2 linked regions of the Solanum lycopersicum genome follow. The protein of the gene in region 1 interacts with the protein of each later gene in a pairwise test. Links are inferred from orthologs where the notes say so. Each region holds a gene or a part of one and is shown on either strand. Other genes may lie near its edges.

Region 1 (6,057 bases):
TCTGTCAGTTTCGGCCTGCAAAATTGCAAGCTACTTACTAGAAAGTTCAATTTTTGGATAATACATTACTTCAAAGTGAAGTTCTCATACAACTAGAGTTCTATTCAAGCGCTGAAAACTAGTCTAACAGTGGATATCTATCATAACATAGATGAAGACACTATCTTAGCAATCAAATAGTTTAGGAAGCATACACGAATACCTTTAAAATGGAAGCATCATTATCCACTTCTCCAGGTCTAGAAGATTCAACACCCCTAAGGAGTGATTATGGAATTTTCACATCAGTATAGCTTCGGATGATTAACAGATCACTGCAAGAAGTGTCTAAGTAGAAATATGTGTTTATATCCAAGCAAAGCTAGCTTACTTCCATTGTATTCTGTTCTTGAGCTTCTTTTCAATAAGACCAATTCCTTCAAGCACATTTGTTATATCGTAGATCCTTCTTTTCTGCACCTGTATGATCCAAAAATTATAATCAGAGTTTAACAATGCAATGAGAAAACTTCTTGCTAAATGATATATTACCTCCAAAGTGTCAGCAGCTTGGTTAAGATCAAGCATACCATCTTCAGCATGCTTGATCAAGTTGATAAATTTCTTGGTTAGTAGACCTGAACAGAAGATTCAATTTTGGGTTTATTCCACCATAAACTCACGTTTTCCATAAAAACTTTTACAACAAATCAATCCCTGGGCAAAAAATCATGGAATACCCAATGAACTGTCGTAGCGGCAGCTTGCAGGTGTAAGGGGAGAAGGAGAACCTGCGAAATCGCAATCCACAAGTTAATTAAGACCATATAAACCAGTGCAACCAAGACAGTACAGACCGTTTTCTATAAATAACGTTTAGATAGATGCGGAGGGAAATAAAATTTGAACATTTACTCGTGTCCAGTTACAATCAAGACATAAAAAATTAGACACAAGCCTCACCAGCATTATAGACAGGAGTTTGAGGTCCAGATTTATTATTTTTTGTGGCTCTTGACCGTCCATGTGCTCTTCCTCCTTTTCCAGACACAGGCGTTCCAAGAGGACTATTGGCCACATCTGCATACCCGGAATTAGCAGTCCAGTCACTGGACTCAACCTCTTTAATATAGCCTGTCTTCCGCTTTAGTGCCTACAGGCGCATTAAGTGTGCAAAGTAGAAATAAGTGATCAACAAGTAAAACATAGCAAACTGAGGAACAATTACGACTAAACTCTGAATTTTCCCTGGGATAAATTAGAGTATATAGAATTAAAAAATTCTTGACTTGGGCACACAATTATCAAACTATAAACAACAAGGGTGGACAGCAGTGTAAGAAGGCTCCCTCTGTGCAGGCTCCAGGGAAGGTGACTGTAGACAGATAACTTCCTTATGGAGAGGCTGGTTCCAAGACATAAGCACTAAACCTTTCACACCTAAAATAATATACCTATAGAAGGAAAGCCATAACTAACAGAGCTTCAGTTTAATTTAGTGCTAACTAATTAGAGAACACAAACAAGTCCCAATTGTTACTTAAACAAAGGAATTAATTCTGAAGATGAACAAACAATAAAAATCCTCCCACTCAATCTTCTCTAGCTATCAATAGGACTCAAAACATGAATGACACCAATAATATCCACATACAAAAAGAAAATGGCATTCAGGTTTCATGAGGTTTATAAGATCAACAAAGCTACATTACATGTTCAACTATGTAACCAAATTGGTTGTCACGTGTGCAAACATGAATGACAGAACAGCATAAATCACAACCAACTCACTTTGACTCATTTACTCCTTTTTACCAAATTTAGCCAGCAGTATCTGGATGTTTCAGCTAACAAGAGGCAAATGACCTCCGGGGAAATTAGAAATGAAAAACCAAAGGCAGCTTAACATCTTAACCCAACAAAAGCCAATTAGCTACATACCAAATACCATCCATTAGCTTAACAAACCCAATACCAGGTTCCAACCACAATAATTAGCCTCAAAAGTTATTCACACATTGAAATACAAATATTGCAGATCAACAAAATCGCAAGTACCACAAAATGCACAAAACAGCAACAACTTAACTCGAAATTACACCTTTTTAACGACATATAATCAAACCCCACAATATATCTTTCTTCAAAATATCTTATTCATGTCTCTACTAATCAATCCCAGTTATAATCTGAAGTTCCATTTCAAAAGGCAAGACACACTACCAAAGTCCAACATCAATCCCAATTAAAAGCATCCATAAACGACAATCTTAGTTCAAACAAGAATGCTAGTAACCACAAAATGCACAAAAACAGCAACAATTGAACTCAAAATTACACCTTTTTAGCTACGTTTAATCAAACCCCACAAGATATTCCTTTGAAATCTCTAATTCACGTCTCCACTACTCTATCCCACCTCTAATTTAAAGTTCCCATATTTCAAAATGCAAAACTCACTAATAAAATCAAACAGCAATCCTCAACAACTACACTATTAGCTCAAACAAGAATGCAAGTAAACACAAAATGCACAGAAACAGCAACAATTGAACTCAAAATTACATCTTTTTAGCTACATTTAATCAAACCTAACAAAATATCCTCCTTCGAAATCTCTAATTTACGTCTCCACTCCTTAATCTCACCTCTAATCTAAAGTTCCCATATTTCAAAACGTAAACCCACTATTAGAATCAAACAGCAATCCCCAACAACTACACTATAAGCTCAAACAAGAATGCTATTTACTGCAAAATGCACAAAAACAGCAACAATTCAACTCAAAATTACATCTTTTTAGCTACATTTAATCAAACCCCACAAGATATATTTCTTCAAAACATCTAATTTCAAGTCTCAACTACTTAATCTAAAGTTCCCATATTTCAAAACACAAAAACCCACTACACAAAATCAAACAGCAATCCCCATAAAAAAACAACACTAATAACTCAAACAAGAATCCAACAAACTCACAGGTGACTTAACCACAATAGCTTCAGGCTGCAAACTAGCAGACCCAATTCTAGAATCAACACCAGGTATAGAAAATCGGTGGTAATCCTCAGGTGTAACAAAAGGTGGCCTCATAGAAGCAAAGGGTAAGTATCTTTTGATCGGATGAGAGATCTGACTCCTCCCTCCACCGTTTACAACGGCGGATGATGACTGAGCAGTGGGTGGCGCCGCCCCACCAGTGGATGCACTAGAACCTGTCATTTTTTCCCTAGTTTTGTAATCAAAAGATATACCCTTTGAACTCAAGATTTTTGGATTGTTGAAGAGAAGGGTTCTGAGGGGATGGGGTGGGGGTGGGGTAGGGGTAAAGGGGGTAGGGGGTAAGGGGGGGGGGTAGGGGGTAAGGGTTTCTCTGTGAAAGGCAAAAAGGAGAAAACGAGGGAAGGGAGGGAATTTTGGTTTTTGTATATATGTGGAGGGAAGAGAAAATGTTAATGTTTTGTTTTTATTCATTTTGGTCCATATGAATACTTATTATTTGCAATTTGACCCTTCTATTGGTAAAAAATTTACTATTTTATTTTTATTTTTTTTGGGCGATCAAATGACGGAAGTCAAAAATTAGGGTAGAAAGTTACGTCGAAGAAACATGATTCTAGTAGGTAGGGGTGGCGTTCGCCATTCGTCGTTTGGCTCTTTGGTTTGCAGTTTTGAAAAAGTGTGGAGTGAATACCAAACCAAACTTAGTTCGATTCGGTTCGTTTTTTTCAATTAAAAATGATTTTTTCGATGAGAATGAAGAATAAATGAGGGTAAAATAAAAAAAAAGGTGTGAGATATATAAGAAAATTTAAAACTATGTTAAGTGATTGATGTTTCTCGTCAATATGGAACAGTTATTGTACTTAAATATTGTGTCACGCCGCTGCTCGAGGAAGACAAGGACGAAGATGAGTTTTTTACGTAATGTATATCGATAAAAATATGTTTGAATTTCTCTATTTTTCAATATTTATGTTCACCCTAATAATAGGAGCAACTTTTTTTGTTTGCAGTTTTGAAAAAGTGTGCGCTGAATACCGAACCAAACTAGTTCAATTCAGTTTGTTTTTTTTCAATTTGTTTTTAAAAATGAATTTTTCGATGAGAATGAAGAATATAAAACGAGGGTAAAATTAAAAAAGTGTGAGATATTTAAGAATCTTTAAAACTATGCTAAATGATGACGTGTCTCGTCAATATGGAACAGTTATTGTACTTAATTATTGCGTCACTCTGCTGCGCGAGGAGGACAAGGATGAAAATGAGTTTCTTACGTAACGTACATTGATAAAACTACGTTTAAATTCCTCTATTTTTCAATATTTATGCCCATCCTAATAGTAGGAGCAACTTTTCTACTCCCATCTTATACTAATCACTACTATTAATCCTATATTTTCTTATAATCTTATTATTTTTGTTTTAGATACTTCTCTTTTTTGCATTTTTATTATCGTAGATTCTACAAAAAATATTTTTCTTTAGTTGAGTGTTTATCCGAAACCTATCTACCTTACATGAAATGAGAGTAAAGTTTGCTTATAATTTATCCTCCATAATCCATATGTCACATTTTTTAGGTCACATTGAATATATTGTTGTTGTTTCAAAAATAGAAGCTATAATTCATTTTCGATGCTACGAAATTTTAAGATTTATTACAATTTTAAAGGAGGATAAAATCGTTTCATTTCGAATGACATGAAGGGTTGTGTTGGTGCTCGACACACACGAAACAATATTTTTAAAAGAGTCCAAGCAACATAGCCAGAGTAGTATACACAGGCAGAAACCACAACATAGACAGTACAGCCTGTGAGATGATGAAGAGATAACCCAAAGAGTAGATCACTACATCCTGTTAAGTTTTATTTCATACGTCTAACGTAACGTAGAAAAAAGACAACTCGATGCACAAAGAATCCTGCATTCACGAAGGATCCGGGGAAGGGCTGGTATGATGCAGAATCAAGTTAAAATTTCACAGTAAGTAAGTCAGGAGATCACAACGCTACTCTCAAGTACTCACCAATCACCAATCAAAGACGATAACGTTATTGCTACAGAGAAACCAGAGAGGATTATAGTGCCAGTACTGAGAAAATCGTTAACTAAACAACAACCACAACATAAACGGTGGAATCTCACAAGAGAGGTCTGAGGAAGGTAGAATGTACGCAGACCTTACCATTACCTCGTGGAGGTAGAGAGGTTGTTTCCAAAGGACCCTCGAAAAATCTTTAACTAAAACAAACACTAATCACATTATGAATATCAGTAGACAAGTCCTAGGCCAAATATAGCATATGTCAAGGCACACTGAACATCAGGTTAATGTACTCTCCAAATTGTATGATCATATCACAACTTACATCGACTATATGAAACAAGGACGGTATAATAAGCAATCGATGCATCAAAGTTCTAGCCTCTAGATGCTACAAATATTTAGAATGATCATTGATTCTTCAAGTTTCCTATGACGGTGCAACATTAGTAGGACCAAGAAGGCGGGGAATGATAGAAATCAATACGATTTTCAACACTGGTTCACCAAGTATACCAATAAATATCTATCAACTTGTTCGTCATCAACATAACCTCGTAGTTTTGTTATAGATATCTTACACTCGCTAACTGAATCTGCTTCTCACAGATGTAGAAGGCCAAGACTAGAGGAAAATGTTTTTTCTCCAATGACCAATATCAATGCAACTTTCTTCCTAATAGCAAAAGGATTTAATCAGAGAAATGTTGGAATGGCAAATGATGAATTGCCCCGTCCTATTACATGGAAAAGTATGTAAGATATATACTTCACGATACTCATGAGAGAAGGGATGGATTGTAACGGAAAGCAACGCATTGTCCTAGCATCTTAACATCCTTACTCGCATTATCAGCAATTACTCCAAAAATTATCAAGGAAATTCATGCATCTCGATTCCGTGCTTATTGTGTTGATAGTTTCTACATGTACAATGATAATGCAGTTCACACACTGCTGCATACCAAGCAGAAACACAACAAAACAAGCAAATTTAATCGAACTGGAACACCATCAGCCATACAAAA
Region 2 (6,013 bases), on another chromosome or scaffold:
AGTTTTCAGGCTTGGGCTTGAGTTAGGTCTAAGGTCCATAGCATGGTACTCGAGCCAGACCCCAAGATGTCTAGTACTAGGCGTGAGGAGGTTTTGAGTCCCACATCGATGGGATTAGGAGAAATCGGTCTTTTTATATTGTCTTGGGCGGTCCTCACCTCTTGAATTGCTTTTGGGGTGCTAAAAGATACTACTACTACTCAAATAGTCATATAGCTCAATGCTAAAACTGTTAGCTCCTTTTTTTTCGTAAAAAATTGTTTCCCTAATAGTCATTTGCTGTTTTGTTTTCACTTCCAGGATCTGAATGGGTGATGCTCTCGAGGCCATTCCTTGAGTTCTGTATTTGGGGTTGGGACAATCTACCGCGCACTCTTCTGATGTACTACACAAATTTCTTGTATTCTCTTGAGGGCTACTTCCACACCATTGTCTGCAATCACAAAGACTACCAGAACACGACAGTGAACCACGACTTACATTACATCAAATGGGACAATCCCCCAAAGCAGTATCCTATCAATTTAACACTGAAGCACTTTGAGGACATGATCCAGAGCGGTGTCCCCTTTGCTCGTACTTTTGCTACTGATGATCCAGTTCTCGATAAAATTGACAAGGAAATCTTAAGAAGGTCTCATGGCGTGTTTTCGCCAGGGGCTTGGTGTGTCGGAACTTCTTCTTTAGGTAAAGATCCTTGTATAGTTTATGGCAGTGTAGATGTTGTCAAACCATCAACAGGCTCAAGAAGCCTAGAGAAACTTGTACTTAAGCTCCTTGATACTGAAAATTTCAGGTCAAGACAATGTAAATAAATTATACAAAACTCTTTTATTGCTCTTGAAAATATTTCTTCTCTTTTTCATACTCTTTTTGCCTCTTTGCTTTGTATAATTATTATTTGACATGATGAGAATCCTTTTGTTTGTTCTTTGGTTATAACAACATATATACCTAATGTGATCCATGACTGGTTTGCGGAGGGTGGTGTATACGTAAACTTGTAAAAGTTGAGAGATTGTTTTCGATAGACTGTTCAAGAGGTCCACCTAATGTTCGTATCAATTGACTCACAATTACTCCTTTGCCACAACTCACAAGTTAAAAATCTTAAAATTTATGTTACTATAAGAACTTATTCGATGGAATCTCATAAATAGGGTTTGAGGAGGGTGATTGTATGCAAAATGGCATTCCTAATGAACTGTTTGTGATCGACCTTCGGCGTATGTTTAGCATATCTAGAAAAAAACATATAATAATAAATAAGTCACACAGAAAATAATGAAGAAAATACAATAGCAATAACAATTAATATGATAATCAAAACGAATTAATTATAGTATGGAAAAAGAACAAATATATCCCGAACTATCATAAATAGTATGCATATACCCTCTATCATACTTTTGAGACATTGCCGCCCCCGTTGTTAAAAAACTAAAGCATATATTCCCTTTATACTAATAAACATACACGTATCACAATTTTATCCATCGACCCGATATTTATCAATATCAAATCGATAGATAATATTGCGCCATGTGTCCCTATTTAGTCTTCCGTTAGAGTGAAGGAAATATAAGCTATATTTTTTGGACGGCAGGGGCACCAATGTCCCAAAAATAATAACAGAGGGTATGTATATGCATACTATTTACGATAATTCAGGGACATATTTATCCTTTTTTCCCTTGTAGTAATTAGTATATGATAAGAAAAATTAGACAACACTCGAAATACCTGCTAACGTGTATACATAATTCCGTAGAGTATATGTGAATCTCCTCTTCACATATTCAAACCATCTCAGTACCGAACCGATCAACCGAGGGTCAAAACCGTAAAAGACAATAGAGAATGAAATAGCGGGAACACAAGCCTTTGACTTTTAAGGTCATGTTTGGTCAAATTGTCTGTTTTTTTTTCTTTTCTGGTACTAATAATAATTGTCTTTTTTTTTCGACCATTTCAGTGTTGTTACTGATTCTTGTCTTCAAGGACACTCAACTATCAGGTTCTTCACTTTTTTTCCCTTTTTTTTTATTTTTTTAGGATAAATTATTTTAGGGTTTATTTTTGTTGTTTGAGATTGAAATTCAATTGTGAAATTTGGTACTTTTATATCTCAATTGATTTGTTTTGTAAATTGTGTTAACCAAAAAAGGGGAAACTTTACTAAATTTCAATTGATTGTTGTTTAATTTGTAATTTCTGTAATAATGTCTGATTCTGTTACACAAATTGAGGTTGCATTTTGGATTTGTGGGTATTAATGTAGAATTTTATGAGGTTAGTAACTGTTTCATAAGTTTTTTTTTCAATCCTACTGTTTGATTAAATGGTAAAAAACACATTTTTTTGCGAGTTTCTTATCTAACTATCAGTTGTTTCCTTTTTTTTTTTCTATTTGAACTATACCTTAAAACTATTTAGGCCAATTACTAGTTTTTTTTTTACCTGTCACTGTCTAGTCAACTAGGTGTGTTTTAATACGTAGATGTGTATAGTTTTGGTAGAAAAAGGGAAAAACGGATAGTTGCGGTGTGAAACTCGTGGAAAAAAAAAGATAGTTCAGGTGTGTTTTTGACCATAGTAAGGTTAAACGTTTACGAGTTGAAAGTCTCGTATATGGTTCTTAGATGGGGGGGAGTTTTATGATTGGTTTGAAGAATGTCTCAAGATTCAAGCAATTGCGGATGATATTATAAGTAGTATATTCATGTTCCTCCCACGTCGTAATATATTTTTATTGTTTGTTAATAGTTATGCTTATTTGTTCTTTTAGTACAAGTAGCTATTTGAGTTTGCTATGAATCTTTACTATTGTCCAACCGTTGGTTGAGGCTTTTGCTTCGTATCTTCTTGCTTGCAATTGCAAAGAATTGTACTAACTGAGTTGTTCTGGTCGACCTACGAAAGCATCAGTTAAATTACTGTACTGCATCAATTCATAATGAGTTGGGGTTAATTATATTTTTATCCTTTGTATCCTCATGAAGGAGTACGAGAGGTTAAATTGGTGTACTAACTCCACGATGTCATGTTTTTTCTCCTTTTTTTGTCACAAGGAAATCTGCTTGTATGATGGATGGCGAAACCTCTGCAAGCACTATTCAAGGGATCAACCGGAGACGTTCTGAGGGCAAGAGTTCATTTCGAGCCACAGCAGATTATGATGACAAAACATTGCATGTTAATCAGCATAGACAGACTAGGTGATTTAATTAACTGATAAGTACTTTTCTTTCTCTTTTATTTTTCTGTATGGTTATGAAGACCTATAAATGGTTTCTAATTCCTATATATGTTTATGAAATTTTGTAAAGTGACACGGCAAAGCTGAAGAAAGGCTCAAAAATTGTCGGAGGAGGTCTAAGACAATACAGTATAATGGGTCGGTGATAATCTAAGGAATGCTTAATGTCCTATACATATGGCCTTTTGTGGGTAACTCCTTTTGTTCTGGATAACGATTTCAATTTTTTCATTTTTAACTTGTCAATTTGCAGTTTGTAAGAAGGTGGAAGATAAGGGACGAATCACATACAGTGAGGTAAGTTTGACCCTTGTTCTGCTAGACTGAATGACCTATACACTTGAAAAAGAGTCTTGCGAAGGTAGACCTAGTCTATACACTTGAAAAAGAGTCTTGCGAAGGTAGACCTAGTCTATACACTTGAAAAAGAGTCTTGCGAAGGTAGACCTAGTCTATACACTTGAAAAAGAGTCTTGCGAAGGTAGACCTAGTCTATACACTTGAAAAAGAGTCTCGCGAAGGTAGACCTAGCCTATACACTCGAAAAAGAGTCTCGCGAAGGTAGACCTAGCCTATACACTCGAAAAAGAGTCTCGCGAAGGTAGACCTAGTAGATATCTATCCTATACATCATAAGTATCAAACCTTCTCAGTCTTCGCAACATTTCTATCTTCATTTATTTTACTAAGAATTACCTCCTAGTATCTCTATTCTACTGCATATAAGAAACGATCTCTCCAACGCATAAATGGTTGTGCTATTTATGAGTAAATGACTGCTTGGATTTTTGAACTTCAATTTATTGCTCGCTCAATGAAATGTTGCAATATTGAACATTATTCGTCATGCTTAACAAAAAGCCTATATGAAAATTGCTTTTTTGGTAGAGATATGGTGGTGTTGAATCTTAAGCTAGAAGAAAAACATTGTACCACCATATATATTTTAGGCGCTTACACAATTCATCCTTGCTAATGTGAAAACTTACCTTTTCTCCTCTGTCTTGATTCTTGTTCGTCTTTCTGGATTTTCCTAGTATATGCATATGACATATAGATTATCATTCTTGATATATAGGTTGCAGACGAAATCATAGCCGAGTTAATGACAATGGAAAACAGTTCCTCTGTTCCCCTTAATGAGGTTAAGTAGAGATCTCAAGACGTTAATTATTTCTTTTCTCCGTCAACTATGATTTGAATAGAATGCTTTATAACCTTTCCAGTCAGATGAGAAGAATATACGCAGACGAGTATATGATTCGCTCAATGTCCTTATGGCCCTTGACGTTATCGAAAGAGATAGAAAGGAGATCCGCTGGAAAGGCCTTCCTAATTCAGATGCAAGGGACATGGAGGAAACTAAGGTTAGCAGGTAGCTTGAGATTTAAAAATTTATCATCATCTCTCACTATCTTTTGTATGTATGCATAAGGCTTAAGCTTTATGATCGTACGCTGATGGAAATCTTGGACTGTTTGAAAGCGGTTGCTTTAGTTGCTAAGGGTGAAACTGGAATTGTGAGATGCCTAAACTGCATTGATGAGCATAATGGCAGTCTAAAAGTATATATATATATATGTGTGTGTGTGTGTGTGTGTGTGTGTGTATATATAACTGATCCTAGTTGTATAAGAATGCTTAATTCCTTGGCCTCATTGAGAAGCGGGCCTGCATTACAACTGATTCCCACATTTCTGTATAGACTCACCGTGTCTTTCGATGATATTATATAAAAAATCTGTATTTTTCCAGAAGGGGCATGCAGAGTTATTGGCGAAGATTGGGAAGAAAGCTGCATATCTGAAAGACTTGGAAGAGCAAGTATGTTCATTGTCTACTCCTTTCGTACCAAATGTCATAAGCTCTTCAAATAAACATCGAAAAAACACTACATTCACCTAACTGAATTGTGGCAATGATCTTTAACTTTCTGCACATATTGGGAAAGCTTGCAAGTCTGCAAAATCTTAAGCTGCGGAATGAACAGTCGTGTAAATCTACAAATGGCCCTTCACAAGGATTCTCTTTGCCATTTATACTTGTTCAGGTATAAGGCTTTAATTTTTCCTCTGAAATTACTGCATCTAGTTATTTTACATGGTAGACACTTCGATTATGCAATGATTAAAGTTAATGGTACTTAATTATATCTTTCACGTTCTAATTTACTACTTGTGTTATTGATAGTGTAAGATAAAGTCCTTTTTTTTGTCAAACGGCGTAGGTTTATAATCAATTTTGACTCGTATCTTTTAATTTACTTTTTTATATTAGTAATGTTGTGCGTTAAATTCCCTTTAAGTCTTTGACAAACATTTTAGATTTGCAAGCAATTTTATAATGTTCAGTTTGATTGGTTTTTGTTTTTCTTACTGTTCATGAGAATGATTTTATTCCCTATCTTTCAAATGATGTGTTATTATGTCCAACTCGTTGGCTGAGACACAAAGCTCACATAGAGATATGAAACAAATAATATTCTTATTAACTTCCAAAACACCTTCACAAAGTATGGGGATAAGGCTACACATACATCACCCTTCCCGGATCCCACTCGTGGAATTAGACTGGGTATGTTGTTATAGTTACTTCCCAAATAATTTTGCATAAAATGCATGTTGGTGTGGAATTTGTTACGAGCACGTAGAGATATCACCGAAAGCATGAGTTAGAGGCCTAATTGGTGAGTGTTTGGAGTTGGAACCACCATTCGAACTTAGGATTTCCAAGACTGGAAGCACCCTACTTGTT

What was found.
Region 2: the proteins of transcription factor E2FA (region 1) and transcription factor-like protein DPA interact in binary tests that used the Arabidopsis thaliana proteins (3 or more experiments, as listed by UniProt). The link is inferred for Solanum lycopersicum from reciprocal best matches to the Arabidopsis thaliana genes E2F3 and DPA.

What each region holds. Positions count from the first base shown.
Region 1 is NC_090800.1:2,211,133-2,217,189, reverse strand, and holds the start of transcription factor E2FA, read right to left. Parts: upstream 3,414-6,057; 5' UTR 3,202-3,413; coding exon 2,959-3,201; intron 1,133-2,958; coding exon 943-1,132; intron 771-942; coding exon 720-770; intron 618-719; coding exon 532-617; intron 460-531; coding exon 371-459; intron 258-370; coding exon 203-257; intron 16-202; coding exon 1-15. UniProt on the Arabidopsis thaliana protein: Transcription activator that binds DNA cooperatively with DP proteins through the E2 recognition site, 5'-TTTC[CG]CGC-3' found in the promoter region of a number of genes whose products are involved in cell cycle regulation or in DNA replication.
Region 2 is NC_090808.1:4,496,309-4,502,321, forward strand, and holds the start of transcription factor-like protein DPA, read left to right. Parts: upstream 1-2,008; 5' UTR 2,009-2,287; coding exon 2,288-2,292; intron 2,293-3,071; coding exon 3,072-3,218; intron 3,219-3,329; coding exon 3,330-3,397; intron 3,398-3,512; coding exon 3,513-3,556; intron 3,557-4,337; coding exon 4,338-4,403; intron 4,404-4,485; coding exon 4,486-4,626; intron 4,627-5,014; coding exon 5,015-5,083; intron 5,084-5,210; coding exon 5,211-5,309; intron 5,310-6,013. Other genes in the region: beta-glucuronosyltransferase GlcAT14C, read left to right, coding at 301-815. UniProt on the Arabidopsis thaliana protein: Involved in the regulation of the G1/S transition. Increases the DNA binding and the transactivation activities of E2F proteins after heterodimerization. The complex DPA/E2FA promotes cell division and acts as a regulator of the endocycle.